2 linked regions of the Neurospora crassa OR74A genome follow. The protein of the gene in region 1 purifies or fractionates together with the protein of each later gene. This does not show direct contact. Links are inferred from orthologs where the notes say so. Each region holds a gene or a part of one and is shown on either strand. Other genes may lie near its edges. The genes, in order: NCU00225 and NCU06226.

Evidence for each region.
Region 2: the proteins of NCU00225 (region 1) and NCU06226 purify together in Saccharomyces cerevisiae (affinity purification with mass spectrometry; 4 studies listed by BioGRID). This does not show direct contact. The link is inferred for Neurospora crassa OR74A from reciprocal best matches to the Saccharomyces cerevisiae genes STM1 and RPL25.

What each region holds. Positions count from the first base shown.
Region 1 is NC_026503.1:3,066,850-3,083,708, forward strand, and holds NCU00225 (hypothetical protein), read left to right. Parts: upstream 1-9,719; 5' UTR 9,720-9,877; coding exon 9,878-9,895; intron 9,896-10,204; coding exon 10,205-10,223; intron 10,224-10,356; coding exon 10,357-10,515; intron 10,516-10,577; coding exon 10,578-10,743; intron 10,744-10,804; coding exon 10,805-11,399; 3' UTR 11,400-12,179; downstream 12,180-16,859. Other genes in the region: NCU00223 (bZIP transcription factor), read left to right, coding at 940-1,140, 1,279-1,495, 1,610-2,149, 2,217-2,551; NCU00224 (hypothetical protein), read right to left, coding at 6,297-6,504, 6,882-6,976; NCU00226 (MFS transporter), read right to left, coding at 13,373-14,798, 14,857-15,281; NCU00227 (mitochondrial cation transporter), read left to right, coding at 16,427-16,530, 16,724-16,857. UniProt on the Saccharomyces cerevisiae protein: Ribosome preservation factor that protect a small pool of nontranslating, vacant ribosomes in cells under nutrient starvation conditions.
Region 2 is NC_026503.1:1,952,438-1,968,629, forward strand, and holds NCU06226 (60S ribosomal protein L25), read right to left. Parts: upstream 14,726-16,192; 5' UTR 14,550-14,725; coding exon 14,525-14,549; intron 14,299-14,524; coding exon 14,234-14,298; intron 14,156-14,233; coding exon 13,863-14,155; intron 13,802-13,862; coding exon 13,714-13,801; 3' UTR 13,223-13,713; downstream 1-13,222. Other genes in the region: NCU06222 (tyrosyl-DNA phosphodiesterase domain-containing protein), read right to left, coding at 1-37, 97-267, 371-1,258; NCU06223 (hypothetical protein), read right to left, coding at 3,104-4,405, 4,483-4,558, 4,624-4,784; NCU06224 (RING-box protein 1), read left to right, coding at 5,962-5,990, 6,047-6,125, 6,214-6,284, 6,352-6,556; NCU11313 (microsomal signal peptidase Spc12), read right to left, coding at 6,769-6,969, 7,029-7,088, 7,166-7,216; NCU11312 (CorA family metal ion transporter), read left to right, coding at 9,532-10,844, 10,917-11,496; small zinc finger protein Tim8, read left to right, coding at 12,237-12,339, 12,606-12,781; NCU06227 (hypothetical protein), read left to right, coding at 15,129-16,046. UniProt on the Saccharomyces cerevisiae protein: Component of the ribosome, a large ribonucleoprotein complex responsible for the synthesis of proteins in the cell.

The sequences.
Region 1 (16,859 bases):
TCCTCCAGTCTTTTCTTTTTTTTTTCTCGAGTGACAAGGGAAGCTCGTGGGACAAGCTAAACAAGCCAGGCCAGCCTAGTCTTCGTAGTGTAGCGGCGGTATGCGGGCCATTGGGGTAGGTATGACCTCCGGGGCCCTGTGGACGACATCCAGTGAGGATCCAGCGAGCATCCAGTGGACATGGGCGGGGGCTTGCGGACCCTCCACCCACTCCAGGGGGATTAACATTACATAAAACCCTCCCATTCTTCTCTTTTCTTTACACATGCGCAACCTGTCATCGACCTCCAGCTTATCTCGGGCCCTCCAAAAAACCGTCTTCAAGTCGAGCCTTGACACACGGAATCCGGGGAAACGCGGGCCTGTGTTGATTTTCCAACCCCCTTTTTCCGTACAGACGCTCGCTCTCTGCCTGGCCTTGCCTTATCGCCGGTTCCAGAAACTCGGATCCTACCCCCATTCCCCAGATTTCAGATTCGAGATTACGCACTGATTGGCGCCATCATCCCTGGTTCCCGAAGCTGTTCCTGAGCCAGTCCATCTTGTTCGGAGAATTTTAGCACGAGGGAACTTTGTGAGAGAGAGGAGGAACCGAGACCTGGGGCGTGTCTTGCCATCCCATATCGAAAACTCATTCGCTGTCCCCGCCCAAGCTTTTTCCGAGTGCCGTGGTGCAGCACACGTTGGCACTCAACCCGCATTAGGTTCTTCCCCGAATCCGCTCCTGGGCAGGCCCCGCATCAACAAAGGCTCACCACTACCAACCACTACCGGAAACCCCCCCCCCTGCCGAGCCCTCTACACTACCTACCTACATACGACGGCGTACCTTGCACAAGAGTCACAGTCACAGACGCTCAACACGCACACTCTCACTGGCAGAACAAACAACGTCTGCCAGTGCAACTAATTCTGTACAATCAGGGAAGGAAGAAGGACATGGCAGACAAGATGTCTATCGATAAGCACGATCCCACCAAAGACGATAGTGAAGACTCGCAGATGGAGTCTAGTCCCGAGAGAGAAAGAGAGGGAGAGGCACCTGGTGGTGAGGCCAATGGCCCAAATACAGGTACCTCGACGAAAACCGCTGCTCCCCAAGAAAACCAACAGCCCAAGCGCAAAGGCGGCCGCAAGCCGGTAAGATCTTGACTTCTTTCTTTTCTTGTTTTGGTCTTTTTTTTTCAATTTCTTATTTTATTTTGGTTTGATTTTCTTTTTTTTATATTCTTCTTGCAGACACAACTAGTGATAAATAACATCCTAACATATGTATAGATCTATGCCACGTCCGAGGAACGGAAGCAGAGGAACCGTCAGGCTCAAGCTGCATTCCGTGAGCGCAGGACTGAGTACATCAAGCAGCTTGAAGATGCTATCCGCACCCACGAGCAAAACCTTGCCAATCTGCAGGCTGCTCACCGACATGCCGCTGACGAATGCCTGATGCTTCGTTACAAGAATTCGCTTTTGGAGCGCATCCTCCTTGAGAAAGGTACCTTTGTCTACGACCTTCCCATGTTCGGGTTGTTTGTTTACACCCCTTTTTGGGGGGGCCTTCCTCACCAATATTGATTGATTTGCTAACTCTACCTACCCTCCTTTTCAGGCATCGATGTTCAAGCCGAGCTCCAAGCCAAGACGGGCAGTCCAAATCTTGGACCTACTCATATGCCCCAAAACTTGGTACAGCAGCCGCCGATTCAGCGGGCTCTCCTGAATAGACACCATGCCCGCAGATCGCAGTCGAGCATCGCTCCTAAACTCGAACCCGGGATTCCTATCTCTCCCCTGCCACCTCCGGTTCATTCTCACGCGTCAGCTCTATCGCCCAAGAGTCGGCCAACACCACTATCGCATTCGGCCTCACCATCAACGACAGCAACCTTTGGTTCCCATAGCGGCGCATCACCGGTCACTTCCGACGGCATGATTCCCCCGATTCGCCCGCATCTCCCACCCGCTTCAGCATTAAAGATCCACCCGCCTTCGCAATTGGGTAACGGAGTGCCCGGTCTAGCTCAGCAACAACGCCAGATGCAGATGCCTGGCCTTCAGCAAGGACAGAACCACATGAGGAACAGCGTTGGCGGAAACACGAATTCGTTCTACCCCACGCCTTCCTTCCAGAATCATATTGAGCAACTCGGCAAGCTGACCCGTTTTTCTTTTTCTTCCTTCCCCTTTTCCCCTCTAATAAATATTTGTCACCTTAGGCTCATTCCGTAATTCAGAACAGGAGTACGACGCCGCAGCCGAGATGATGGACGACCCCGGCGAGACCCCCGATACTCCAAGCGGACCTGGCCCCTATCCCGGCCAAGCATACGGCGGCGACCCCCAAGCAATGTCACTTTCGTCCCCTGTCACCTCCGGTCCTCAAGGAAACCAGCAGTCACCGATCGAAAACGGCTCTCATCAACAGCATCCTGCGTACCCGCCAATGGCCCAGCTTCTCGATCACCAATACGACTTTGGCGATCCTTTCGGTTTGAGTGCTAGCATGGCTTTTCCGACACAGTTCTCGTTCGACACCAGCAACATGCGGTAGAAGAGACGGAGAGAAAGGAGGATAATGGCATGGCTTAGGGAGAGGAGGTATCGCGGGATGTTATGGGTTTCACCGTTACCCGATTCGACAGACATCTGTTTAAAATTCGACATACTGAAAAATTTCACAAACCGGCACATCACACATAGCCGGGTCAGCAACTGCACAGCAATCGAGAAAGGAGGTTATATAAAAAATAGGTGGGCACGATGGCCGCTTCGGACGAATGACGACAACGCGAGAAGACACAACAACAACAAAAGTACGACCGGAAAAGTTAATGTTTTTAAAAGATACCCGTGAAGCAGTGAGCACTGGGTATAATTCACAATCAGCGGGTTTTGCCCTCTTTTTATGGGAGAGACAAACCCGTCTCCCCACTCTTTTGTTCCCTCTTTTGGATATTTTTTGAGATTTTGTTTGTGTTGGTCACTGGCTTTTGGTGATGCCAGCATGTTTTGATACCTTGTATGCGTCTGCTTTCACTGTAACTGTACCACAAAACAAAAATGGTGTTCAAAATCGGATACTTTGATTCATATCACAGAAGGAAAAAGGAGTTTTCTCAATCTCATCAAAAAGCATGGTGTTTGGACCCGGTGTTTGATATGTTCAACTGTCAATTTCTGTCTGGGCTATCAGCGATTGAGGTTGGAAAATAGGAGGTCAGCGCAGCATGACAATCAACTTGTCATCACGATGAGAATCTACGGAATTGTTGACCAACGAAAAACGCGGGGGGAATACCACGAGACCGTTGAGGCTACGGCAGATGACAAGCCTCGCCATGGGGAGCAGGACATGTTGTTTACATTACCTTGAACCGTCTACCTGATGTAAATAGCCAGATCAACGTCACCTACCATCAGACAGGATCATCAGGAAATACTACTAAACAAAAGTTACATCGAAGTCCAAAAGACAAACAAGCTCAATTCTTTACAGGACCGCGCCGAACGATTTGCGTGACAAATTTACCTAACCCGCAAGGCCGTAGCCAGGGGCAGCGGAGACGCGTGACCGACGGCTTTGTCATCGGAAGAACGCTCCACATCCAACTCCGCCTCTAGATACGGGCCGGTACTCCATTTGCATGGTGTAAACGGACCGGTAACGGTCAGTACTAGTGTAGTGTACGTAGTGTAAACCCGACACGACGACACATGGCGCAGATCGACAACAGCTAGGCACTGCAGATAGCGATGATGGGTTGGGATGGTGAGCGAAGACCGCGTGAGAAAAGATCAAGAAAAGGGCCAAGCGGCTTGGCGGTGAATCTAGATCTAGTTCTTCTGTCGTGCCTGGCGATGTTATCTTTTGGGGTTGCTTTGGGATGAGTCAAAATAAAAAGGATGGAATTTGTGGTTCCCCTGCAATGGACTTGGAAGTTGAGAACTTGAAGTTTGAGGAAATTGAATTGGGCCGCCTTTCTGTTGTGCGTGATGCCCTGGACTTGGAGTCAGTCGATTGATTTGTGCTTGGCTTTTACCTTGGTATTCACCTCCAGGTACTGTGACTACCGCAGTACGCATGATGGTTGATAAAAATTAGAGAAAAGAATCCCCCCTTTTTACGATCGAAGGTTTCCCGCATTCTTCGCGGTATTATTCAACTCTCACTTTTCACTTTTTCCCACACCAGTCCCTCCCCCAACTCCATCTCACTCACAAAGCTCATCATCTCCGCAGCGAAGTCGGTCCCTCAGGAAAAAAAAAAAAAAAAAAAAAAAAAAAAAAAAAAAAAAAAAATTCCGAAAAAAAGGAAGGAAAAAGAGAGAGATCGGTAGAGAAAGTCAGGGAAGCCTCGTCCGGGAATAAAGCCGGCTATAGTGCTAGATTTAGTGTGAGAACTTAACTTTCCCGCGGACCGCAGCCAGGAGATGGAAAATGTTACTGAGAACAAAAAAAAAAAAAAAAAAAAAAAACACTAACACGGTGTGGAGAAACACCGCTTACTTCTAAGGACTGAGGTACTATGCAGTATGTAGCCTTCCATGTTCGGTGATAACAACCGAAGAACGGTATGTACTGCACCTACACTAGGTAGGGATCCGCTATCCTAATGTAGTCCGCAAGATCTTCAGGTTCTTGTCGTCCCTCTCATCTACAATCTCTCCACCGAACTTTTCCTTCTCCACTGTTTGGGGAGCCCGCTGAGCCCGCAAAGCCAGTAGTGCCCGCCAAAAACTTTTTGCGGCATGTGGACACTGACTGACTGACTGACTGACTGACTGACTGACTGGCGGAGGAGGAGGAGGAGGAGGACAAGAGAGTGGAGATTTTTTTAAACAAAAGCGAGGTAGTATGTAGGTCCGCGGTCCGGTTGATTTGTGGAGAACTGGGTGTCCCTCCGGTGGACGACCGACCGGGGCTGAGGACCTACATATACATACACTACGGAGACGGGAACGGGGCTGATGGATGGAGAACGGGGGAACGGTGTGGGGAGGGGTGAACAAGATGACTGCCGGTTGGGATGTGAAAAACACCGGGATGGAGTGGTCGGAGGCGGCATGGAGATATTAGTAGATGGGAGGAGCTCATGAAGGCTCAGTGAGCTTGATGCCAAGGTTGGGTAGAGGAGCTTTGGGAGGAGGACACGACATGGTGGAGGGATGATATGTGATGATGTGAGATTACCTTTAAAAGTGGATGGGAATCTCCGAATTGATGAAGTGAGTTGGGAGTGAAAGTAAACAACGGGAACGAGGGTATTGGAAATTCCAGGCGAGTGCGTTCGAAGACTGTTTGTTCTGTTGGTTGTCAGAAATGTCTGGAGGCATAGAAGGTCTCAAAGCGAAGCGAATCCGAGCATAGGTAACGAGAATGTCCAAGGGAACAGATTGACAGTTCTGTAAACACCTTTCTTCGGTTTGGAGGATGCTTGACGGCTTCAACATAGCTTGGTCGAAGTAAACCCGTCATGGTATTAGTCTGATTTGTGGCATGATGTAGCAAATACACAGAAGAAGTGTCCCGCAAGATCAATTTGAATTTCGAACTTAATCAAACGTGGCGTTATTACCGATAGACCTTCGTCGTGCATCAATCGCTGATACTTTCCTTCCACATCCACCATTTATGTCTTCACATTTGAATGCTGTATTGGAACGTCATTGTCATTTTCCAATGCAAGAAGCCTTTGGAGGTTTTTGTTGATACGTAATATTTAGATAATGAGAAAGACTACCATGTCATATATGTGGGATCAATATAGGTTCCAGCTTCGTTGAATATAGCACGATCCAACACAAGAAGCTATGAAGGAAAAGCATGGTGATAATGAGGAGGAACCTACCTATAAACAGGCCGTCGAGTCTAGCAACTGTCGGGTATCATGGTTGTTCTCCAGGTTATCTACCAGTCCTTTTCTCGACTTAAGCAACATCTAGACGGTGTCTAGCCCTACAACTAACATTCCATCAATAACAGATCCAGGTGTGCAGTAATGCTGGTCCGTTATTAACCGTCTATTGTTCTGAGTTCGGACCTATGGAGACATAACGTTGCGTCCCGACAGGCCGAAGGTTGCATGTGGCCCTTCACAATTGTTTCCTTTTGATCAGCAGTACATTTCTGCTGATGTCCAGCTCATGATCCTGAGATGGTGGTGAGCCTATGTGGTTTGGTTCCCCTGAAGTCACTCCCGCCTAAAAACTGCTGGTTGGGAGATGATACATTGCTGAGCTCAAGGTATCCAGTACACGATCTCCAGGATTTCCCTTTGGTGGTGTTCGAAATCACCCTCAGTCGATATCTCGGATAATGTAGATGGACGCCACGCTGGCTCCACGTGCCGAAAGAAGATGTGACATATCGGGCGTCTTCAAAAGGTAGGATGGTTCCGTCTGGTCATGTAGCTCATGGGGTAAGCCATGACACATAGATACTCCATTCACGACCAGCATGTTGCCCCTCAACTCCCATGTGTCCCATTTGTAGTGTAAGGAGATCCTGGGAGTTCCGCGTACAAGTCACTGCATAGTCTGGACCGGTCTACCGCGTGATGACCGGTCCGGAAGGAATCATCCCCGGGTTAGGTACGGAACTGGAGTCAAACGGTGGTCTGGGGATCCGCATTGTTGAATTGAGTCCAGTGAAACCTCAGTTCCACACCGAAACGCTGCTGCCTGTGGAAGTGTGCATAGTGACTTCTGGTGGAGGCGCCGATGGTAGCCGTGTGTAGCCAGTGGACTTCTGTCAGCCCAGCCATCATGACATATCGACCTGCCCTTCAGCAATGCTGGGTTCTATCCGCTGAGCATCTGGATTCGTATTCTGCACCATGAAACGCTTCGAGAAGAAACGGGATGAGCATGAATGGTACATACTTTCCTGTTCCTCCAACCTGTCCAGTGTTGGAGTAGTGTAGAGCCGCAGCGGGAACCCTTCCATGCTTCCGCTTCGACAAGGTTCGGGTCGCCATCCTGGCCGTGCCGCTGAGGCGTCACTCGGCACGCTGACCGGTGGTCGCACAGATGTGACAAGCCCACCATCACGCTTTCATCACTCCTACCTCCTACTACCTCTTTCAATCGGCCCTGATGCTTGGGGAAGACTCTGGAAGGTTAAATCAACCCGAAGGCGGGCAGATTTATTTGAACTCATTTCGAATTCTGGTGGACAGGTTGCAGGGCAAGCCGAATGCAGGATGAGTCACACCCAAAGGAACCGTCGATCTCGTTGCCAAATGACAAGCTACCTGCTGTTGGACGACTCTCAAAGTCGGGCACAGCTCTCTCAACACTCTACTGACCAGCTAAATCATTCCTCTTTGGGAACTTCGTTTGTGTAGCTCCATGTAGAGCCGAGCGTTATTTAGACAAGAGAGATATTCTTTGAAGTCCTCTTTCCAGGCAATCTGGAGCAAATCGTGACAAGTATGTGGGCTCAGCTCGAAATTCTTGACCTTGCGCTCACAACGGACGTTGCGAGCATACTGCAAGTGAGTATCGTGAAACTTGGTGAGCTGTTCGTTGTCGGCGGAGGTGTCGAAAATGGGAGTGTCCTTCAAGCTCTTCTTTCTTTTTGCTGCTTCGTAGAGCCTGCGGCCTCAATACAGTGTGACATCTTTTCGAGATTTCAGCCATAGTGCTTGTAGGCGCAAAGTGTCCTACTTCTATGCTTTGTTTGTCGAGACCTCCACATTTGCTGGTTTGAGCGGTTGACATGTGGCTTTTGTATACATATTTGCCTGGTAATAAATAGACTTCTTGTCTTCCCGTGAACTAACACTCGTATCAAGCAAGACCTGGGAGGTACACGTTAATGAGGTGGGTTTGATTGCAACTTCTACCGACCGGGTTCTCTCCTATTACCCAAAGCCTGAGCTGTGGCTTTCGCTCACAGATGATGTACTGGCGTGTTTGATACAGTGGACAGAAGTATAACGTTAGAAGTGCTTCATAACAGCCTCCTCAAACATCCCTTGCCGATATCCAAGAGTAGGTGCATAATGTGGCTCAAACCTAAAGATGAATGATCGACAAACTCCTGAAGACAGATTTCGTGACCAGAACGACTTCTACCGTCAACGACTCATGTGGCTGCCCCGGTGTTTCAGAGTGTTGTGGACTTTGCATAGCCTCAGAGCTAAATATCAGCTCAAATGAAGCAAATCTGTCATGCCAAACAATGGCGACCAGGCTAGATAATGCTTCTCATCCAGTACATGCCCAACTTTCTCTGGCAACGCCGTGGAGACATTCTTAGTTGTCAAGAAACACAGAGACACACTGTTTGATACAACGCCTGTAAGTTGACTTCAAACAATCTGCCATGACTAACACGAAAGACTCGATGTTGGGTGAAAAGCAAGACACGAGAAATGCAGTAGAATCTTGAAAAGGCAGATGAAAAGGAGAGAAAGGAATTGCAGAGCTACACAACAAAGAAGGAAGTCGACTTGCATATTGATCATGATGAAATGGCTCTCCGCGACTTGTTATCCGTACAATAACTGGATTAGTTGATACCGATATCTCAGGTTAACTAACCTACAACAAAGAGACATTTGCTGATGGCTATCTTCCATTCTCGATGCGAGGACAGGACTCTAATGTGGTAAAGGTTATGTATTTTGCAGATGTATGTCCATCTCCGCCTCGAAGGGCCACGAGGAAGTAAACAAGTGTGTTAAAAAGGGGAGCTTCAATTCATGAATTCAACATCCATTGGCAACTGCTTCGACTGGCGAACGGTACTCGTCCTAATATAGTTGCTGTTTGAGCTTCGTCGCCACAGCGTCCACTCTCTGCCATGACTGTCAGATGCAAACCAACGGGTGAGTCCATCCAGAACCACACTTGTGGAAACGCATGCAGAGCCGCTGTGATTTGAGGGTGATGCGGTTCAACAGACACGTAGAACCTATACAACTTCCAACACTGTTCTACATCATGGCATATGGCAGACTTTCCAGAGAAGTCTTGAATGAAAGGAAGTAAGATAGAAGTAGGGGTTGGAAAAAAAAAACAGAAAGAAAAAGAAAAAAAAAGGTGAAAGGTCCACGCTGCATATCAAACTGCTCAAGTGGTCCGTGATGACCTCTCCAATGTGGCCGTGATCAAGCACCTGTTGGCAAGCCGTCAAGCACAGCAACCAAGGTAATACTTCCCCAAGAAAGACATGACGTCCGGTGTCTAAAAGCACGACGGCAATGCGTGCCTTTTTGGCATGAAGTCCGTTGACAGGAAGTCCGGGGTGCTTGAGGCAGGTCCGATCTCATAGAAGGCTGTCACCTCAGCAGGAATGCGTCAACTTGGCATATAAAGCGGCAGCTTCCGTCAGGTGTTTGTGACGGATGTGTTTCCAGTGGTTTGTTTACCTTGGTGACGATGATGTCTATGGTCGTGAGTGGTTGTCGTCGCAGCTGCAAACACTCTGCCAAGACTTGCCGGATTGGGAGCAGAGCTCAAACAGGCAAAGTTACGGCGTGTACGGATCGATACGCACGTCACATTGGTAACAAAGGGCAGGCAGCGTGCAAAGTGGTAGCCCTAACCACCAATAACAGCGGCGCACTGAAATTTCACCAAAAAGCCAAAACGGCAGTCAAAGTTGGAAGCGGGGAACAGCGGCAAAGAGGGCCAGAGCAGGGCCTTGGAGGGGAGATTTGGTGCAGGTGGGCGGGGCACGAGCGTCTCTGTGATCCGTGCCACTGCCAAAACCTGGTCCGAGCTCCCTGTGGCCCGGGAGCGATTTGCCAAAATCTTTTACGACACCACAGCGAGCATCAGACGTCGTTGTCGCTGTCGTCCGCCCCCCCTACCCAACCCCGTCTAGAAGAAGCGCATTGAGTCAGGCCAACGTCCTGTCAAGCGCAAAGATGTCGGTCGCTTCCAAGGTGTGTTTATCTCTCTCCCCGTCAATCTCCGAAATGGCCGGTTTCACGGTCGGCCGAGAGCTGCATGCTGTGCAGCGGATATGGATGACCCCGTGGTTGGACCTCGCCGTGAAATGAAACTGAGAGCTTCATTTTTGTTTCCGAGCGAGTCCGCCAACACCGGCTCCTTGCGACAATTTGGGATCCGAAAGAGGAGGGAGGCTTGGAGAATGGGGATCCAGACGCACAGCGAGCAGCAGCCGGCCATACCGCGAAAATCTAGAGCTCAAGACAGCAAGAAACTAACCGATTGCGATTCTTTTTCTACAGAACCTGTTCGATCTGCTCGGTTGGTTGCCCACCCTCCTGTGAATTACGGAACCCACGCGACGGCACACTCGAAATTGGCAGGGCGAGGAGGAACATTGAACACCGCAATCCAAGGAACCACCAATACTGACGGATCGATTGTTTTCATTCAGGCAACGACGTGGAGGATAACACCGCTCCCGCCGCCCCTGCTAAGATCGTCGAGAAGACCTCGACCCACACCACCAAGCGCAACTCCGATGGCGTCGCTCCCAGCAAGGCCCCCGCTCAGGGCTCTGGCCGTCGCTCTAACTTGACCGGCAACGAGGCCGGTATGTTGATCATCCAACATGCTAACCATGGCTACCCTCTCAACTGACATTTTCGGTCCCAGCTTTCCGCGACCGCAACGCCGGCAGCGACCGCAACCGTGGCAAGCCCACTGAGGAGGGTGCTGCTCGTGGTCCCCGCGGCGGCGCTAACGCCCGCGTCCGCGGTGGTCGCGGTGGCCGTCACCCCCGTAACACCTCGGATGACCGCCACTCTAAGTCCATCCCCTCGTATGTTCCGGTCAAGCAATTTCTAGCCACAGGCACCTCCGTCCACTAACACCCTGACTAGCGGATCCGAGAAGCAGGCTGCCCTTTCCTGGGGCGCCACCGAGGGCCAGGCCGAGCTGAAGGATGAGCAGGCCGCCGAGGAGATCGCCAAGACTGAGCAGAAGGAGGCCACCACCGAGGGTGAGGCCGCCGCTGAGGCTATCCCCGAGGAGGAGGAGGAGAAGCACGTCTCCTACTCTGAGTACCTTGCCCAGCTCGCCGAGAAGAAGGCCGCTCTCGAGGCCGAGGCCGCCCTCAAGGTCCGCAAGGCCAACGAGGGTGTCGTTGAGGACAAGAAGTGGGCCAACGCCAAGCCCCTCAAGAAGGATGAGACCGAGGAGTTCATTGCTGGCTCCGCCGGCAAGAAGCAGCGCGAGCGTGAGCGCAAGGTCAAGCAGGTCCTCGAGATCGACCAGCGTTTCGTCGAGCCCGAGCGTCCCGCTCGTGGTGGTGCCCGCGGTGGCCGCGGTGGTCCCCGTGGTGACGCCGGCCGTGGCCGTGGCGCTCCCCGTGGTGCTGCCCGTGGTGCTGCCCGTGGCGGTGCTCCCCGCGCCGAGAACAAGGCTGCTCCCATCAACCCCAACGATGAGTCTGCCTTCCCCAGCCTCGGCAACTAAATGCCTCTCAATATCGGCATAACGACCATACATCGAAGCCAGACTATTCAGTCACACGGCCCCCCCTTTATTTTCTCTTCGAGGCGGCAATGTCAGAATCAGGATGGCGGCGGGTTGGGATAAAAAAAGCAGCCAGCATGGGGTCGGTGTTCGTCTGTTTGGTTGCATTCACCTTTAGCGGAAAAGTGGTTCATGAACACCGGAACCGTGAAAGAGGTTTTCCTTATCTGTCCACCACTTACCGCGGAATCGAACAAAGTAAAACTGTTCAAGCTCGAAAGTTGAAATTGCGCGCGTTCGTATGACCTGGTTCCTCCCCGTATCTATCCCCTTTCCTTCCATGCATGAACGTTATACCTAGGATATATTTCACTTTTTACCCGGTTCAAACCGCAGACAAAGGATGGGATGGCAACCATCCAGAGGGCAAAAAGACACACACGCTATAGTCTAGGTGGCACTATGACATAGCTCGACCATGGCAAGGTCGTAAGAATGGACATAAGACAGGCTTGTTTTGGATTAACACCCAATATGGCATCTGGCAAAAGGCATCAGGCAGAGCAGCAATATCAAAACAAGTGTTTTGGATTCCTCTGGCAAAGGCACAACAAGCTGACACTGATCCGTGACTTGTACTCAACACTGTGTTGGCTGTTTAAGTGCACTTTTCGATGTCTCACTGGACAAGTGAAGTTCTTGCTGCACCGTGATCTTGAACTGACTGGTCGCCATAGGCACATAATAAGATGGAAAATCACTGACGATGATATTGACACACAAGTACTTGTAGTAGACCTTTTCATTTCCATTTCAAACTCCGAACTCGGCGGTTCTTACTAACCACCCCTTCACTATGACCTAGGTCCAGGTAAACAGACCACTCTTTTGTGTCCCTTTCTTGTCTTGTGCAAAACACCCTCTCCATCACAACCCCATGATTACTTATCCATATCACAGCCGCCATACCATACAAGACATGACCTGATGTACATTTCACTTCCATGACAACACTAGCGATATCTACCTTCAATCTTACAACCTTTCTCTCTCTCCATCCTCTCCAAGTTACATTCTCAACCTCGAGGTTCCCTCCCTCATCCTCATATGCTTCGAAGATGTGACACTGCCGGAGAACTCCAGTCATCCTGGCTTTCATATCTCAGACAAGCCAGAATCTGTGGAAACTTATGGTAGACTCTATGCTCGGTCCGACTTTGCACATCATCTAAGTAAGTGGTGATACATACAATCCATTTGCAAGAGACCTAGTGACGAAGTCTCCTGTTGCTTTCTCACCTCACGATGGATGATTCTAGATCCTTGAATACAACTCTGACAATCTGCATCAAGTTACATGCGCGCATCTGCATGCATGATGCTTTATGTCGGTGGTAATGCGCACAAACCCTACCGACAAGCTCTACAGAGTACTTGCTTGCACAACAAGCCCTACTTGTAGGTACTGCCAGGTGCGTACCTGAAAACCGAAGAACCCGAGTTTCCCGAGTATGGGATTATTCGGTCCGCATCAGACCGAGGGCTGGAATGTCGTCTTCAGTTCCCTGGAATAGATTCTGGTAGTTGGGTCGGTGAGAGTCCACGGAGCATGTCGTGTCACTCTATATTATGTCTTTCCTTGTCTATTGTCTTTTTTTTTTTTTTTTTTTCTCCAGGAATGTGTGTTGCGAACTTGGGGAGTGGAAGGTTTGGTTCTCGGGAGATGCTAGTTTCATACGAAGATGGGAAAAGATGGTTGGATGCAGAAACTAGAGAGTGAATCACCATGTCTTTGGAAGAGTAGCAGTACTCGATCACCGCTTCAACAGCGCCCATGCAACAGTACACATTTCCTTAAGCATGCACGATTCATATTCTCTGCAAAATTCATACATCATAACATCATCAACGACTTCCACCCTCCCCCTATCCTCGCCCATCTGGATCACACAACCTTACAACCGCCAAAACACTCAAAAGCCACTCGGCACCTGATGCCCATAGATCACTACTCCCCCCCTCTTCCTCTTAAACCCAAACCTTCCCGCATCAATCCCCAGACTGACCACCAACCAAACCACATTGAACCCAGCCATCATATAGAACGGCGTCCCCGTGCTCCACTCATCGAACCCATACCCGCCCGCCTTTGTCAGCAACAAGATGGCCGCACCTCCGCACCACGAGTAGACTCCCGCCACGGACCCCTTCAGCCTTACTCTCGACACCGTATCCTCCGGCAAAGCTCCCGGATTTTCTAAAAGGGGTGCCGTCTCGTTCCGGCTATCAGCTGGTTCAGTCACAGTAGCTACTTCGCTGTCCCTGTCGACGCGGTGCGGATGCGTGATGACGTTGACTACGTCCACCTTCAGCACACCTCGTCCTAGCGAGCCCAAGCTGCAGACGATGGCGCCAATTTGGCTGATGCCGATAAGTGCAGCGAGGAAGAAGACGACAGGGCTGCCGCCCCGCCCATCCTTGTCTTTGTACTCGGGGCTTTTAAGCTGGGGGAAGGCAATGTAGCCGGCGATGCCAAAGGTGGTGGCCACAATGATAGGGTAGTTGAGTCTATTCTGTTTGGTGAACTTGCGGCTAGAGAGGTAGCCGAAAAGAGGAGCGCAGAGGAGACCCATTAGTTGGGCGACGCCCGTGAGGATAGACGAGAGGATGTAAGCCTGGCGGCATTCCTTTTTCAGCTCTGGGGAAGGGTCGTTGGGCGAGCCTTGGCAGAAGCCGTTGCGGATGAAGAAGGCGTTGATGAAGAGGGGCATGAAGAGCGAGATGGCGACGGTGGAGGCACGGGCGACGAAGCCGCCTAGGTAGCCGAGGGCGATGTCGGAGTCGGTGAGGCCGAGCCGGATCGAGTCGCGGAGGAGGTGTAGGTAGGGATAGACTTGTTTGGATGAGTAGGGGGCCGAGTGGTCGTCGGTTCGGCGCTTGAGTCCGAAGAGGGTCCGGAATCCTTTGCCTTCTTCACCCTTGATGCCGCGGAGACCGAAGAAGACGAAGATGGCGACGAGGAAGGAGACGAGGCCGACGACGTAGTAACTGTACTGGACGGCTTGACCAACAGTGACGCCTTTGATGTGTCCAAACCTTGCCGGTAGAGGGAGGAAGAGCGAAAGAGCGAGGAGGGCACCGCACCCTGTGAAGAGCCCTACGTAGCCGGCCAACGCGGACGGCTTCCCACGTCCTTCGGGTTTCCCTTGGGTGCCATCAAATCTGAAGCCAGCTTCGGAGGTGCTGTGATCGCGGAACCGATCAGGGGTAATGGTAACCTCTGAAGCCACTGACGGTGTTATGCTATGCCTTGGGTTTAGAGGGGGGTTCTCGACAACATCTGTTTGCGCCTGGGTCTCGTCGGACAACGAAGGGAGGATTGCCGTGACCATGGTCGCCCTTTGTCACCAATGATGATTAGCTTTTGTCGTGGAACGCCGTGCTGAACATTACTTACGCAGCGGTAGCTCCAACAGCAAAGAGAATCCTCGCCAATAGCAACTGCGGGTACACATTCGTTGCTTGAACAAACACCAGCAGCGAGAGTCCAATAATCGCATAGCCGGTGACGGCAACATGTCTTACCCCGACACGATCAGACACCAGACCCCAGAAAGGGCAGGCGATCAAGGCGACAATTTCATCAACGAAGCCGAGAGTGCCGACAATGTCACCGACGCCATGCTTGACGCCGATCAAGTCGGTGATGACAAAGGAGACGCTGCTGTTGAGGAAGACGAGGAAGGAAATGCTGAAGAGGCAGATGCCCAAGAGGTAGGTCAGGGCTTGGAGAGGGGTCGTCGATGAGGAGAATGGGAGATGGCGGAGGAGAAAGGCACCGAAGTCGAAGGGCTGGCCGGGCCGGCCATCGGTTGGAGCCATTGTGTGGGTTCTTTGATATGGTCTGTTTTGGTGTTTAGTCTAAGTGCTGGGATTCCTATCTGGGCTGGCTAAGCAACCTAAGAGTGTTGATGGTTCGTCGATGTGTTTTGCTTCACATCGGTTCAATGTCACACGGTTTGTGTGGTCGTATTCTTCGAGGAAACGAAGCTTACAACGGCACTGATGGAAGTTCAAGCATCTGTCAAACAAATGTGGAATCACGAGTTATCGATTGCAACAAGGGAAGAAAGAGGTCGGAAGGGAGAAGAGCGGAAGCAGCATCGCGCAAACTGATGACGGCGCTGGCGTCAGTTACGCCCATCCAAGGAATCATCGACCGGGGAACACAGCCAATTAGAAGAGCCCAATCCCGATTTACATATGTACACTACAACCCTGTCGCTATCAGGGCATTTGGCTCGTGCAACCCTCGTGCAACCCTTGGGTTCAGTTTTGGACCGCGTCTGGCCGCCGCGCTGCGACATCTGCCCGCCCCGCAATCCGGTTCAGAGCCCCTCCTCCGCCGGTGTTCGTCTTTTTCCCCCGTCAACTTCTGGCCTCGGGGCAAAACGACATGAAATGACATGAAATGGCCACTAACGGTGCCAGATCCAGAATCCCGTCTGACTGTCTTTCGTCTTGTGTAGGTCATTTCCTCATACTCCCTCTACTCAGTAGTCCGCCCAGTCAGCCAGTACATGTGCAATGTACAAAAATGCAGGCGGGACAGTGATACGGCACATCATCTGGGGTCCCGTTCCGGGGTCCTGAATCGAGACCGGGATACCTGGCCGTCCCCGAGATCGGGATCCGCTTTATTTTTGCCGCGACCGGGGAAAGATAACAAAACCCTCTTGTCAAAGGAGAGTCGATGGTTTGTTTCAAGCAGGAGTCATACACCGCTTTGCTTTTATTTCCATTTCGGTCTTCTTTCTTGACTACTTTTCTCTTTTCCTGTTTTGAAGTTTGTTTTGTTTGTCTGTTTGTTTGTGCTTCTCCGACATCGTCGCCGTCAACTCGCCCGTCAGACAAGACACACAAGTGTCGTTCAATCTCTTCTTGTCGCAAAGAGAGCGCACTATTCACGCCATTAAACACTTCTTGACAAAACACCGTCTTCGACCCACCCCAGAGCACAAACAACCATGTCCGCCTCTCTGCCCGGCGCGCGCGCGCTTCCCGACTCGCAGTATGACTTGAGCACCTACTGGGGCCGCGTCAGGCATACCGCTGGCCTTACCGATCCGAGGTGAGCATAACCGCATCTGAACTGGGGATGGGACTACAAGGAGGGAGGAGGAAGGGGCCGGAAGAGAAGGGCGGTACATGCTGCCTAGATGACGCATTTGCGACCTCCTGTTGGCGCAAACTTTGGAGCAATGAAGGGCTGGATTCAGGACGGGACAAAGAATGTCTTGCTAACGTGCGCGCCATATTCGCAGGACGCTTCTCGTTGGCAATGCCGGTCTCGAGCAAGCTAAGCAGCTCCTCGTCTCCTACAAGCAGGGACAGATCAAGTCCATGACGCCCGACTTGTGGCAGGCCAAGAAGCTCGTCGACTCTACTCTCCATCCCGGT
Region 2 (16,192 bases), about 1.1 Mb from region 1:
GATCATCAAGGAGAGGGAGGTCAATGATGAACAGGATCTGCAGGGGGCCTTTAGTAACTGTCGCGGCTCAAGAATAACTGGAAGTAGTAGACTCACGTTTTCCATATCACCCGTCTCACCCCAATCGAAGCTCACCAGATTGGCGCTGGGCACAACGATGCGAAGATGGTCTTTGTACTTGAGCAGCTGAAGCTTCGAATGCATGCATCCCGAACCGTTCATGGGAACAAGATGCTTCCGCACCGTTGGGAATCCATCCAACCAGGTCTATGAGAAAAGGAACACGTTAACCATGTCATGACTTTTTGAGGTGAAGAAACATGCCAGCCTGCCTCGGGGCTTCCAGAGGTGTCCGATTTTCTGAACCTACACTGATTTGTTCCCCTTGATTAGGGGCACCCCGACATAGTATCAGTTTGGTCTTCATCAAATCCAGCTTGTCGAACAGCCACGCCTCATCCAAGATAAACGTGCTCAACACTGCCAACTGCAGCTTATCCTTCTGAAAGACTTCTTCGATCGTGATGTCGTCCCCCTTCCTCGCTTGACCACGGACCCACGTTTTCTTGACTGCACCTTGAGGAAACGATAGTTCTGTTCTTGGTCTACTACCGCTTGTGGTGCCGGCAATGGAGTATTTCTCCGCACTTGCTGCCGTTGCTGCCACTTTTCCTTTTCCTGACTCTGGCGGATTTGCTTGCTGCTTCCCGGCTTTGACCATGCGGCCCGTGACCGGCAAACTGCTGGACCCTTGAGAGCTTGCCGTCTCGTCTCCATCAGACTCAGGCAGTAGCAAATCGGCAATTGTTTGTGGACCAGTAGCATTGTGGTAGCTACTGGTCGACATTTTTGAACGTTGATGGGGACGGGCGGTGGTCGGACTGGGAGATTCGAAAGCTGATGAAGCTGGTCGTTTGTTCTTCAAGCGAGCGAGACGCTCCTCTTCCATCTTCTTCCTGTCAAGGCCGAAAAGTGCTGATACACTGTGTGCCTGCGCAGAGGTGGTAGATGCTTGTTTGCTGGGTGGGGATAATTTGGTATCCTGGGCGGCAGGCTTTGATTGAATGGTTGATTTACTCAGACTTCCATCGTCGTCCTCATCGTCTTGTGTTAGGTCAATTGTAGCGCTTGACTTCCCACCAGCTCGCGGTTTGACAGGATCCTGACCAAGTGACAGAGCGATAGCGACGCGCAGTGCTTCGTCATCGGATATGTCCTCGGCATCATTGAACCGTGCGCCGCCCTTGTGGCCGGCCATTGCATATGCCGTAAGTGAAGTCGTGCAGAAGCAAGAGAAGTAGTTTGGTTGAGAAAAATAGTGTTGACGACCGAAAAGGTTGTCGGGGGCTGAGATCCTGGCGGGACGCGTAAAAATGGTATTTCCAAGGTGCGTAGGATGTGACTGCGAAAAGAAAGCTGCGACAAAAAGAGAGCGAAATAATTTAGGAGAGTGGAAGATGAATGTTGAGACGAAACGCGTCATGCAAGATAAAAAAAAAAAAAAAAAAAAAAAAAAAAAAAAAAAAAAAACAAAGGATAGCCGTTCCGTTCAGTCAGGGAAAAAACTCCCAAGGTGTTGTTGGTAAACTAGTAGTAGGCAAGAGCGGGAGTGTGTTTGTCGGACAAGACGATTGAAAGCGGGGTGTACGAATGTGAAGCAGAGGCCTCATCATGCATGCGATTTGAAGATGAGGACTGTCAGGACACTCAGCATCTAGGAAATTCGAGCATCATGGTGCTTCGACGACAATAATCAGCACTGAAATGGTAAGATGCTCGCTGTTTCTTTCTATCGACTTTCACCAAATTTCTTCTTTCGCGACTCCACGTCATCCCGTCGTTCAACGTCCACGCACCCGATCGTTTCCTGTCTGTTGACGCTGCTGTGCACATCCAACACAAAAAGGGTTAGGGTTATCACTGATCCGAGAGCCAGACTCGGATGTCAATATCAGATACCTGTTGGTAGTCACTACACCCTTTCTATTTTCCATGCATGGCCGCTTTCTCTGTACGATTGGACATTTTATGACCTCCAATGATTCTACGCGATGTCCTCCGAGTGAACTGGGTAAGAATCAGCCACCGACTTCGTCCTGCACAGCTGACAGACAATGAGAGTTTGGCTGAACCAATGTGGTGGAGGGTATAAATGGTTTGAGACATTCCGAAACTAAGTCTAACTACTTGTGCTATCTAAGCTGGCAAACCATATATCACCCTCCAAAAATATTTTTTTTGGTTGTTTTTCGATTTATATGTTGTATACGTGCGTGTTAGATAATGTGTCGTGGTGTGTGGCGTGCAAGTACCGGGTATAGTTCGCTGTGTATGTACGGATCCCATTGGCGTAGGGTCCCTTTCGTGCCTTTCCTTTCCTGACTTCCTAAAAAACCCCCGAATATGATGGTCTTCCAAACGTCGTCCGATTCTTGACAACTCCGAGTTCCCCCTTTGTTGAACGCCCATGATTCTATGCGTATCATACCAAAACCCCCCTCGTACAACAGGCCACGCCTGCAAATGAAAATAAGGGTCCAAATCCCGCCCAACTCCCAATGACGGTATGGGTATCACCAAAAACCAATGCCGCAATGCAGCAAGTCAAATGGACCACACTCGTACCAAATGTTGAATGACATAGACCCAAATTCGCCCTCGCAATGTTCGAGACGGAAAAAAGAAAAAATAAAATCAAAAAAGACAAAAGAAGCAACACAGATAACAATGAGCCCGAAACATAGGCTGATATGCTAGCCAGCATAAGAAATGAGAAAGAAAAAAGATTCAAGAGCCAGTCTATCCTATGACGGCATAGACCCGGAAATCATGGTCGGTACACCATCGATACCTTCCAAAACGCCAGTGATTCGACAAATCGGACAGACCCAATGCCAAACACAAATCCACCGGATCCATCGCTGACGCATGCATGTAAAATCTGCAAAGTCCGGGAATCGTACCGTCACCATCCAACGCCTGATATTAAGATGACGGATATGAAAGGAAATGTGCAACAAGTAAAGAAAATGCTACATGTCGACACTCATGTGACAACAAGGTAAACCCTCCGGCGGTATGGACAATAGATGGTACGCCTGAATCAAGAGCTTTGATAGTTAGTTGCCGATGCCCTTATATTCACCGGAGAGTCGAGCTTCAGCATCCGACGAAGGCTATCCTCCATGTGTTGAATGTCTGCGGACCGCTGTTGATCGACTGCCTGAGGAAATGGAGCAGGTGGTGGTGGTTGCCTGCCATGAAGCTCACCGCCACGGAAGTGGCCTGGGAACGTGTGCTGGCTCGCCGGATGGCTCGGTGGTTGATTTGCCGGTTGACTATCTCGAATCGCCGGGATTGCAAGGAATCTCTTGAGCTTCTCACTAGGGTCCATATTAGGTTCCTGCTGCTGTTGCTGCTGATGTTGCCGAGGAACGCTCGAGGCAACGCCAGTGTGCCCCTCGCTCGACCTTGCATCACGAATGCGATCCTGGTAGGGTCTCGAAAAAGCTGGCCCCATAGAGCGACATGGGTTTCCGCCTACTTCACCGGTAGAGAAGCCCATCGAGTAATTCGGCTGGGCTGGCTCCGAATGGTGTAACCGGGCTCCATGTAGGCTCGTGCCAGTAGGGAGAGTCCGGGGTTCCTGAGGTGATAGGCCTTGTCCTTGGGGCGAGAACAAGCTCGGGCTATGAGCGTACATGTTGGCTGAACTACCGCTCCGAGCTCTCGCCTTCTCGGCTCGGTCGGCGCGGAAGAAGAAGTCGAGTGGAGATTCCTCTCGGGAAATGTCACTGACGGGGAGACGGGTTTGAGGTGTGGGTGCTTCCGAGTCGGTGGCTGGAGGCGAAGGCTCCGAGTTGGCTCGGCCGGTATCCTTGACGCTGGGAGAGTCCATCGACTTGGCAAGAAAGCTAGGGATCGGAAGCGCCGACGGATCCGGGGAGGCGTGGAAGGAACCACCGGCAAAGGCAGGGGGGAAGACCGACTTGGGCAGAGCCGCTGTTTGCGGAGGACTGGTCCGGTAGTTCTTGGATGGGCCCGGTGTCGATGCCGGGGAGGTTGTGGACGCCTGCTTGTTGGACCTTGAGGATTTGGTAGAACGGGGTTTGGGCCTAGAGCCGTTTGCCTGGGGTTCCGGAGCCGGGCTGTTTGTCCCCGACTTGGTGCCCGACTTGTGCGGCGTGAACGGGGCGGCAGGGCCAAAGTTAATCGGATAGGAGCCTTCAGACGGCATGTCGTTTTCCGAAGCATATGTTCTGCGAGCGACAGCGTTGCCGGCATGGCGGTTGTTGCGGCGTCGTCCGGGAGTTGCCTTTGGGAGGGGTCCCGGCTGGTCTTGTTGCTGTTCTCGTTGCATCACAAGTAGGCAGCGCACAATGTAGTCGCGCTTGGACTTTGTTTTCTGTTCAAACGAAGAGGTATGCAAAGGTAATGTAGAAGCAAGGGGCCGCTGCGTGGTGCCTTCCTCCGCGAAACAACTGAAGCGTGTGCGAACTGGCGAGACAAATGTTGGGCGACGACCTGGGGTGCAATGGAGGCGAGTAGCGATGACACACTGGGTGAGAAACCGGTGTGAGTTGGACGTGGCGTCTGGCTGGCGAGTGGTGACTTGACGGCTACGAGATAGGGACGTGGGAAAAGGGGATGCGATCGGAGCCTGACGAGACGGCTGTCACTGGTTGACGGGCTGTGGTGGCGGTGATCTCTGTTGGCACAACGGTGCGGGAAATAATACTATTCGAATTGGCGATACTGAGTTTGACGGTAATAGCTTCGCGCATGTTGTTCTTGTCGCGAACTGTGTGGTGGTTTGTCGCTGTGATTCCGAAGTGATGTTGCGCTGCGGCGACAATAGGGAAGAAGCGGAAGTGTGGAAGAGGTGGGATGGTGATGGAGGCAACCTGGGGATCCGGCCTCCAGCACCGGGGGAATCAACATCAGCGCACGAACGACGAAGCACAGCCCAGCGCTCGGTGCAATGCCCTGCCGTTGACCGCCTGGGGCTGTACTTGACCGGTCACCAGCCCGGCTCCTCTTCTCTGGCCGTTATCATTTACACGTTCTCATTTCCCTCCCGTCCTGAATCGAGCATAGCCTCATTACCAGTTACACCTTGACACTTGACAGCCGCCACCGCAAAAAGCAGCAGATGCTATGCGCCTAACACATACATGACTCTAAACGCTAGGGGAGCGGGGTCAGCCAAGTTTGAAGGCGGTTCACTGGTCCACCTATCGCGCGCATCACTGCCCAGAATCCCCAGCGTCATTGCAATCAAGCAGCAGTGTGCAGCTTCCCGTCCACACCACTGACATTCCCGCCGTCGTTTAGTGCTGGTTAAGATGCCTAGGTAGGCAACCTTGACGGGATCAACATACCTACAACAACTAAGGACAGTAAGGGCAAGCTGTGCTACCTTCACTTTGTCACCCAACACCCAGGACGTGGCGATACTTATTATTTGAGTAACCGCAACTGAAAGCACTTCACGTTATCTCGAAGGGAAGGTAGAGGTACGCATTCAGCCTTCTAGACTACCTAGGTATACCTTTCAACTGCCTAGAAGCTTTCCGCCTTCCTTTCTACAGCCCAGGCGGGTTTACCTCGCCTTCCTCAGACTCTTTTCATAGTTCAATCATCCCGACCACCGCATGACGGGCAAACGGACTGACGGCTGCTTTGAAATTTTCTAGACTACTTACGAACTCTGCCTCTTCGTCCAAACGAATCATTTTACTCCATCGACTGGTCGAGCTTTTCAGTGTGTCCCTCGACTTATCCTGCGCATGCTCGCCTGCGTCGCAGCACTTTCTTCGTACTATTGCGCCACGACCGATTAAACACCCGGGGCTTTATTTACCAGCTTCATCATGGCGGATGTCGACATGACCGACGCCCCGGCCTCTGCGCCCGTTGTCAAGAAGAACACCGCCGCCGAGAGCAAGGGGAAGAAGGCAGATGGCAAGCCTCGGTTCGAGGTCAAGAAGGTGAGCACTTACCCCTTCGTATGGTCATGACCTTGCGCTTACAGATATGTTTACAGTGGAACGCGGTGGCCCTTTGGGCTTGGGATATTGTCGTCGACAACTGTGCCATCTGTCGAAACCATATCATGGATCTGTGTAAGTCCCCTCTTTACACTCTCCTCTTGACAACCGACTATTGGACACACCCGACTTTGGACTAACCTTGAACTTTGAATCCTCTTAGGTATTGAGTGCCAGGCCAACCAGTCATCGGCCACCTCAGAAGAATGCACGGTTGCGTGGGGTATTTGCAATGTAAGGTCCTTCTGGTCTGTTCTCTGTTTGATCCTTGGAGCCCGATGACTAACCGGCAATGTCACAGCATGCGTTCCATTTCCATTGCATCTCGAGATGGCTCAAGGCGCGTCAAGTATGCCCTCTCGACAACAGAGATTGGGAGTTCCAGAAATACGGCCGTTAAAGGCCTGGAAATCAGGAGTTGGATGCCTGTTTGCGGCTACTCGACCATGCTGAAGGGCGAGACACGGATGAAGACAACGTCTGCGAATTTTCATAAGTCTAGATAGCATAAGCCAGGGAGTATCACACGTTAAGAGGCTTCCACGAATGTAAGCTAGCGGGCCACGCCAGATCGAGCATGGCTCAGCGAGCATGCTTCACCGTGCAGCAGTATGAATATCATGGCCGGCGCATCATACTTTGATGATGTTGCTTTGCTCAACCTCCTTTCTCGCGGACGTACACCTGAACCGTGCGACGATGCGACAAGAACGCCAGTCTACCTGAAACTCTTCTCATCTACGATCAGGCTTTGTGGCGGTACCAGCCCGCCGCCGACTTGTAGCCACTTGACAGGGTTGCGGTTGTAGAACGGCCACGGAGGAACGACGAGGATAAAGGTGAGGGCGGTTCCGGCAAGTCCGATCTGGAGCGCCAGCTTGATGTCTTGCAAGATATATCCGACGAGGAACGAGACAACCTGATGACCAAAGGCCTGTCAGCGAGGCGCCGGCTGCGTTTGAATAAGGGACAACATACACCTGTAAGCGCCAGAGTTACGTTGACGAGAAGTTCCACCAGCTTCTGGCCTTCGAAATCCTGAATGTCGCAGATGTCAGCTGAGTTGTCGTATACAAGATGAACACTGGTACGGGTATTGAACGAGAATGACGAACAATTTGGCCCTCGGCAACATCGCGGACCTGATCCAGCAGTTGTTCAGCCATCGTGAGGCAAGTGTTATGCCGGGGAGGTTCGAGAATGGGCGGCTATCGGGGCAGCTGTTCGACTTGTCGAGAGCGTCGAACACTGGATCTTAGACAGTGATGAGTGGTAGATTTGCTTTACAAGTTGTAAACGCGCGTATGATTATCGTTGGGGTTCTATCAAGGTGTTGAGGTTTGCATGGATGGGAGGAAATCAGATCTCATCCAGGTACACCATACTACTGTAGCGCATCGCATCACGCTTCCACTTCCATTGGATGCCCATGCTGGGTACCTCTACTTCAACGTGTCTGCTTCGGGGCCTGCCCCGGTCGGGCCCTCCTTTAGGCTGCCCGTGCCGTACGCTAGGGGTACTTGCTTTACAAGGTGTAGTGTATAATACGTACCTACCTACCTACTACTACTGGGTGGCACTGCTACCGTACCACGACAGTACACGGCCTCGGCTGGGCTTGGCAGTGGGCAAATCACAACCTACAGGTAGGTAACCAACGCCCAGATCCACGTCCCGCAGTCAAAGGGAACAAAGTGCCCTGCGTGCTGTGAGTGGAAAGCCGGAAAAGGATTCAACAGGAAGTGAATGGAAACGAAACGTGAAGGTGGTGAGCAAAGTGGGGGACTTCTCGACGACGCAGCAGTGCTGCAAGTAGATTTTGAAACCAGTAAAATCTAACGCGGGAGATCAGGATCCAACTTCCAAGGCCGATTTGTCGGGGATGCCGTGCTAGCTGATTGGCAGCTACCCTCAATTGTGCATCGACGATTCGATATCAGAACACCGTATTCCTGTTTTCGTGGAATCATAGGTAGTTTCGAGAACATTTGCTGAACAAGGGAAGATCCTTAAAAGGTTACACACGGACTACAATGTCTTGCGGCGAAGGGTGCTGCTGGTGCGTCAGGCGTCCGATGACCGCTTCCCTTCACCTTGCAGTCCAGCGACCTGACAAGGAGGAACACCGCCGGGACCTAACCTTGTACAAGAGGCTAAGAACGAACGGGCAAATCTACCGTAAATCTTTCCATCCTCTCTTTCCATAATATTCTTTGCTAGCATGGAAAAGTGTCGTTGAATTGCCTTTGTCCGTCTCCTATCTAAACCTACCTATAAACCTAGCACGTGCTTGAACCAACCACTTACCCTGGCTTTCCCTGAAACGACTCTCCAAACAAAGGGAAACTCATCGGGCCAGAAGCGATCATTCCTTCCGTTGCGCTTTTTGCCCCGTGAACTTGGACCCTTCCCTTAGGACGGCACACAACTAAAAGGTCTCCTCGGAACCACCCGACGCCTTGTGTGGAGGCGACGAACAGTCAGGCACCTTCCGTCCCACTCTTGTCTTTTTACCAAACCCCAAAAAAAAACTTAGCGCGGCGACCTCGACCCTTTTCCACCTTTCAACACTCGACGCCGACAACCTCATTATCGCGGTTCCGTGTTCAACATATCCGACTCGATTAGCTTGTGCTACAGAGTACGACGCCGACTCCAGTCATCCCTTCTCTAGGTATCTCCGCTGGTGGCCCCCCCCGAGACTGCTGATGCGCAGACACATGCTCGTCATTCCCCAGCAACGTCATTTCTCGGGCTTCTGTTAGAACCTTCGTCTTTTCGCTACTCCTATCCCTTCTTGGGCTTTTCGGCGGTTTTGAAAGGGCGGATCTTCGACCTCATTGACCATCAGCCGATCCAAATCCCCAGCCCGGCGCGAGTTCGTTACCTCAATCTTCCCTCGTCGGACCTCGTATTCATCCGAAAAAATTCTTGGTTGCTGCTGAGAAAGGCCTCACATCAGCCATCGCCTATCACGCCACGTACCGATTCAGCCGCCGCCGCCGCCAGTCATTCCAGCAAAAGTCATCAAGTTGGCGGGCTCTATCCGTGAAAGCGTTTCGGCTGTTCGTTCGCTCCTAGGTCCCAGCTTCTGGGTCTATAGTGGAGTGGACAAGAAACCCCCTTAATTCGACATCGCTCGAACCAAGATTTCCCATTTTGAACAAACATCTGCAATTTATGTTTTCCGATCTTGCGCTTTGGTAGCCGACGTTGACGACGACACCCTTTTGTCCCCCTTCTTGTTGCGCCATTCGGTCATCGTCGCGGACGGCTCCTGGCCGTTCGCTGCCATCCGCTGGTGCCTTTTGAGTCGACCTTTCGACGACAATATGCGAACCGACTGATCACCCCCCATCCCGGGCGTTGAGGGCCATAGCCGACCCTTCAATTATTTCACCAACGACGATATAGCAAAGACAACCGATATCACACTTAATTTAACCCACCCAGCCAAGAAGCGACTCCGCTTGTCGCAACGATGTTTGACCAGGAGGAAAACGTGGGGAACTCCGGGTACTCAACCCCGGTGCCCGAACTTGACGACCACCGGAACCAATCCGTTTCTGTCCAACGACCCGACCGTCCTCGACGCGGAACATTCGATTCTCTATACGGGCCAGGACAGGTGATTGAGACGGGCCCAACACGCAGCGATTCGTTCCAGGGCACAAGGATCCGAGATTTTGAGGAAGCTGTTGTTGACGAGGAGGATCAGGAGAACTCGCCAGTTTATCGGAGAGATCGGCGAGGAACTGTAGAGTCTGCTGTGTTAGATGTTCGGTCTATCTCACCCCCGAACTCGGTTAAGGCTTTCGCGGAAGCACGCCGAAGGGAGCGAGATCTCTCCTTCTCCGAGCCAACGAGACCTGAGCGTCGAGTCGAAGAGCCACCCGAGCTGCAGCGGGCTAACTCTATCGTCAGTCGCCGTAGCTACCGCAGCAAGCAGCCGACGGTGATTGATGACACCGCCAGCTTGGCCACCAACAAATCCGCGGAGGAAGACGTTTGCTTCCCCTTGCAAGATGATCATAGGGATGACAACTTGCATATCGATTTCCACTACTTGGAGACCTTTATCAAGGCTGAGAATGAAGCCCGACAGTCAGCTCGCCGCCCCTCGGCCATCCGTGTCTTCCCCGATTTGCGGCCTGCCGAGCCCGATGTTACCCCCACCGTACCAATGGTAACACTGGATGGGGATATCCTTTCGGCCCCTTCGGAGACGGATATTCGGCGGGAAAAGAGTCATGAGACAGACGACGATGCCGAGGCCAAAAGGACTCCACCACCGCCACAACCTCAGGTTGACCAGAGCCGGGTCAGTTTCTTTTCCTCAGCTTGGGAATCCACGATCCACGCTGCCGACCTGGAGGGTTTGATTTTGCCCGGGGAGGACATTAGAGGGCTTTTCAGTTTCCCAAAGGGGGAGACTGATGGAGTCTGGTGGCTCAATATGAACAATCCCTCCGAAGAAGAAGTCCGTGCCGTCTGCAGAGCTTTTGGCATCCACCCCTTGACAATTGAGGATATCACCACGCAGGAATCCCGGGAGAAGATTGAGCTTTTCCCATCCTACTATTTCGCCTCGTTCAGATCGTTCTTCATTGAGGTAGAGGATACCACCGGGGAAAAGGAGTACGTGCCCTTCAACATTTACGTGGTAGTGTTTCGCGAAGGCACATTGAGCTTCAGCTACGCCAACAATTCCCATGCCTCACATGTGAGGAAGAGAATTACGATGCTGAAGGACTATGTCTCATTGAGTAGCGATTGGATTTGCTACGCCCTGATGTAAGTTTATGGCAATGAGCAGATGCGCTTTTTCCATTCCTTCGATGGACGCGTATACTAACCCATACGTAGTGACGACATTGTCGATTCGTTCGCTCCCGAAATCAGCAAACTTGAGCACGAAACCGACCAGATCGAGGACGATGTGTTCATTGCTCGGTCCGACGACATGGCTCAGTTCTTGAAGAAGATTGGCATTGCTCGCAAGAATGTCATGGGCTTGATGCGCTTGCTCGGCGGAAAAGCAGATGTCCTCAGGGGCTTCACCAAGCGCTGCAACGAGAACTACAAAGTCACGCCACGTATGGACATTGGTCTATACCTCGGTGACATCCAGGACCACGTAGTGACCATGATGACCAACCTGGGCCATTTCGAGAAGATGCTGTCTCGTGCACACAGCAACTACCTCGCTCAGATTTCCATCGACGGCATCATCCAGGGAACTGCTACGAACCGTGTCCTCAGCAAGATCACCCTGCTGGCCTCCATCATCGTCCCGCTCAACGTGGTGACTGGTCTGTTCGGCATGAACGTTCACGTCCCATGGGGAGGCATGGAGACTATGGTCCCCTTCTACGTTATTCTGGCCTTTTTCTTTTCATTCTGCAGTTTGTCGTACATTTTTGCGAAGCACAAAAAGTTGATATAAATAACGATGGGCTGGAGTCTCATGCGAGGAAATGTGGAACCGTTTTCTAATAGCTTCTCGTTTTTTTTGGTATACAGGGAAAGGGCTGCCAAGCAATGTCGATAACATGGCTGTTATAACATGGGAGTGTGGCGGTACTATCGCTTTGTATACCGTTTTTTTTTTCTTGACGGGATAGACCATAGATGCGTTGGTAGATACCCCGAAACGTTTGATAATAGTGTTGACTCAGGCTGAGTTTCTTGTGAGGGCAGTTAGTTCTGAATATTCTACTGAATTTGTGCTATGTGGTCACTGTGTATTGTTCGATCCTATCATTCTACATAGGAAGGAAACATCGTTGAGGTTCTTGGATAGCATGTAAATTTTACGATTCTTGGTGTTTCAAAGGCTTGAAAGTCGGTAGTGGCGAAAGTGAAGTGCGGTACGTAATCGACTCGAATGCAGTTGCACGCCGAGATACTCTAAAGCTATCGATAAAATGTAGTCCTCTCATTGGCTACCCATCTCAAAAGAATCTTTATCCACATCCCCGGTCGCGGTGCTCACCTGGCAGGCAGGTACCGCCCAAAAGCTTGGAAAGGTCCATCCCGCATCCAATCCAATTGCACGCTACGTGATATCGAACCTCTTCTGGTTGTTTATTCAATTCTTGATATCGAATTATTTCCACCACAACCTTAAGCAACTATTGTATAACCATCGCAACACATAACCCTGCCCAATACAAAACAGCAACAATGGATATTCCTCAGGCCGACCTCGATCTCCTCAACGAGAAGGACAAGAACGAGCTTCGCGGTTTCATTTCCAACGAGACGCAGCGCCAGAGGGTGCAAGGACGTATGTACCATCTACAACCTTCTAGATCTCCGGCTCCGTCCTGCAGTGCTTCATTCATATCCTCGTCCCTCTACCATGACCAAATACAGCTTATTGCCCCTCGCTAAGCCTACCTACCACTTCCCTCTTTCCCCCCTCCCATAACCATAACCAAAACCATACCCTCTCTCTGTCCCCTCCCCCTTCCATATGCTTCTTCCCACATTACTCTACCTCCCAGTGGTTATGTACAACAGATAAACTAACATGCTACCTCCCACGTGTAGAGACCCACGCCCTTACCGATTCCTGCTGGAAGAAATGCGTCACCTCCCCCATCAAGACCAACCAGCTCGACAAGACCGAGGCCGTCTGCATGGCGGACTGCGTTGAGCGCTTCCTGGACGTCAACCTGACCATCATGGCCCACGTGCAAAAGATCACCAGGGGTGGCAGCAAGTAGGTCTCGCGCGCCGATAGGAAGGCGTGGGAGGATGCTTATCAGGAGGAGGAAAAAAGATGAGAACGGGACAAAAAGAAAAGAGGAGGCAGAGGAAGGAGGATGGCGAAAACGGTGACTTGTTTCCCTTGAGGAACTGGTTGTCCCGCGGGGCTGGCTGGCTACGTTTTTCGGTTGGCTGGTCCTGCTTGGTGGGCTTCTTGGGAGACTTGGAGGATGCGGCCGAGGTATCCGACGCTTGTTTTCATGGTGGTTCTGGCTGGGTCTGGTACACTCGGGCTTACTACGACGGAACGGGGGTACAGAGAAGCACCCTTTGCTAGGGAACCTTTGTTGATCCCTGCGATAGGGCTTGCGATTGAGGTTCTGGTCACAATTCTAAGAGACAGTCATTCGAGGAATTGTTACGGTTACGCCTGAAGGCTTGTACGATATATGTGATGGGACAGGGGAAGGATCAAAGGTAGAACTGGAAGGGAAAAGGGTTTATAGGGCATGGGAATTTGTTCAGGAACTTAGACAGTATGACAGGCGGTTCTTGTAGCATGATATGGGAGCGCGCGATAGCGGGATACTCATCTTCATCTTCAAACACAGACCCAATGCGCAGTGCAGGATAATTGGTTATAGAAGTGCAGATAACAATGCGACAATGAGTCCATGGTGATAGCAAGAATACAAGATGTCAGATTCAAGTCTTAGAGCAAGTAGATCTATGGCTTGCAAGGGAGGAGTTTGGATAATGGCCCATTTGGTCATGTCTGATGGAACGGGCAGAATAGTTATAAAAACTTTCATTTCCATGCCATGGACCAAACGCCAAAGGGGTATCAGACGCCGACTTCTTTTTCGTTAAACAGTAAAACCCATGTATCCCTTGAAGATAGTTTTTATCCCGAATCTTGTGTATTTCCCATAGCTATGAAATCGCTAGTTTAGACAAGGCCGAGCTTGGTGGCAGCAATGTCGAGGGCATCGACATCGGCAGTGAGGCGAGCGAAGGCCTTCTTGGAACCGTCAGGGCTGTGAGTGGAGTTAGCAACAAGAACCATATTAATGCCGGTCCATAGGGACCAAAACTAACCGGATCAGGGTGTTGATCTTGACGGTGTCAATGTCATAGAGCTTCTTGAGAGCCTGCTTGATCTGGGCCTTGTTGGCCTTGACATCGACGATGAAGACGAGGGTGTTCTGCTCCTCGATCTTCTTCAGGGCACCCTCGGTGTTGAGAGGGTGGACGATGACCTTGTGCTCATCGAGACGGGGCTCGTGAGGGATCGACTTGCGAGGGTACTTGGGAGCCCGAGACAGCTGAAGAGTCTTGGGGCGGTGGAAGGTGGTCGAGTATCTGACCTTGGTCTTCTTGTGCGAGTGCACCTAAACAGAGAAAAAGAACTCTAATCAGCATCAGAACGTCACCAGGGGGGAAGGGATCGCGAGTCGTCGCAAACTTACACCCTTGAGGGCAGCCTGGGCAGCCTTCTTGGCCTGAGCGCCCTTACCGGCCTTAGAGGCACCGCCTATCCATAGAGTCCCTCGTCAGCAAAAGCATTCGCCTGGAGCAAGATGATGCCAGAATCTTGTCCAAACTCGCAAAGTCTGCTGCTGCTTTGGTGCATCACCTCCGAATGCCATTGCGCGACACGGAGGATCCGCATTGTGCGCGGGGCGAGCATATTTGTCGAGCCGTTCAATTCATTCTTGGTGGAATCGTCGCTGGTGAGATTTTGAGGTTTCTTCAAGTACCTTTCTTGGTATCCTTAGGGGCCATTGCTGCGATTTCTGCTGTCGTCGGGCTAAGAAATCGGGATTCTCGCTGGTCGTTGTCGGAGAGGAGAAAGTTCACTTTTTGGCCAAAATTTGGGGGAGGAAAAAGTGTGCGCGCGGGATTTGTGTGGCTTGGTAGTGTGGCTGAAGTGGTACTGGCAGGGGTTGAGCTGCGCAAACTGGCGCAAACGGGCTCTGAACCACACCAGAATATCCACTTTCGCGAAATATGCTCCACAGTATTTTGAATCTCGACCTCCGATCATCACTTTATCGCTACGCACTCCGTCATTCAACCTTGAAGGTCATGATGCGCCCTCCGATCCAGCTTTCCTCCTTCTGCTCGTGGTCTGTCGGATGAAGTCGGTGCAGGACACCTTGGATTTTCACAGCTCCAAGCCTCGCTGTTCTGTGCCTATCACGACCTCCAGACAAGGACGTGGTGTAGTTGTCTTGCTAACTACAGTGTCACGAACCACCAATCGAAATCGAAAACCAATCTCACCGAGACGGATCACAGTATCGACAAGATCGACTATTTGCGGCTATATACTTGTTACAGCATAGCACGCGACGAAGGACTATGGCACCCAAGAAAGGAGTAAGCAAGAACCTTGCAGCTGGGCGTCCGCCCATGGCTACGCGACCTAAGAAAAAGGGAGTGGTCAAAAACCTGGCAGCAGGCCGTCCGCCCACGGTCACAAAGCCCAAGTCACTTGCGCGGAAAACCACGAAATCCATCATCAACAAACTCCATCTCCTAGAGAAGAGGAAGGTGCAGGCTATGAAGAAGAACGATAACACACAGGTCGCGGCAATTGAGGCGGAGATCGAGGCTTTGGGTGGTATCGAGAAATATCAGGAAGCAAGTCTCCAGGGGCAGAGACATGACCGAGGCGGCGACAGCTCCAACGTGCTCATGGAGTGGGTTGGGCCGTACCTCTCATCCGAGGAGTATAAGGAAGGCCGCTTGCGCATGCTGGAAGTTGGAGCGCTGAGTACAAAGAACGCATGTGCTCAAAGTAACCATTTCGACATCACTCGGATCGATCTCAACAGCCAAGAGCCTGGGATTCTTGAGCAGGACTTCATGGAGCGCCCGTTGCCGAAGGACGAGTCGGAGAAGTTTGACATCATCAGCCTTTCTTTGGTGCTCAACTTTGTCCCAGACCATAAGGACAGAGGCGAGATGCTGGTCCGCACGACACAATTTCTAACATCGCCGAAGCGGTTCTCCGGGACAACCGCTGCATTCTTTCCAAGTTTGTTCCTTGTGCTACCGGCCCCATGCGTCACCAACTCGCGATATCTGGATCAAGAGAGGTTAGCGGCTATTATGGAATCGATCGGGTACGAGATGGTGGAATCCAAGACAACCCAACGGCTGGTCTATTACCTGTGGAGGAGAACATCAGATCAGGTTGGAAACGACAGGCCGTTTCGCAAGGAAGAGCTACGTTCTGGCTCGTCACGCAACAACTTTGCCATTACCTTGGTCTAAGGTTTGCGAACCATTCGAACGCACACAATCGAGATCAGTCACGACATCTAACAATAAGTCACTCGACTCGACCGTTGTTGGGAGCCGATAGATCGGATGACCACAACATTGGTGTTCTCAGTCATATCGGGAGTGGGAGTATGTCG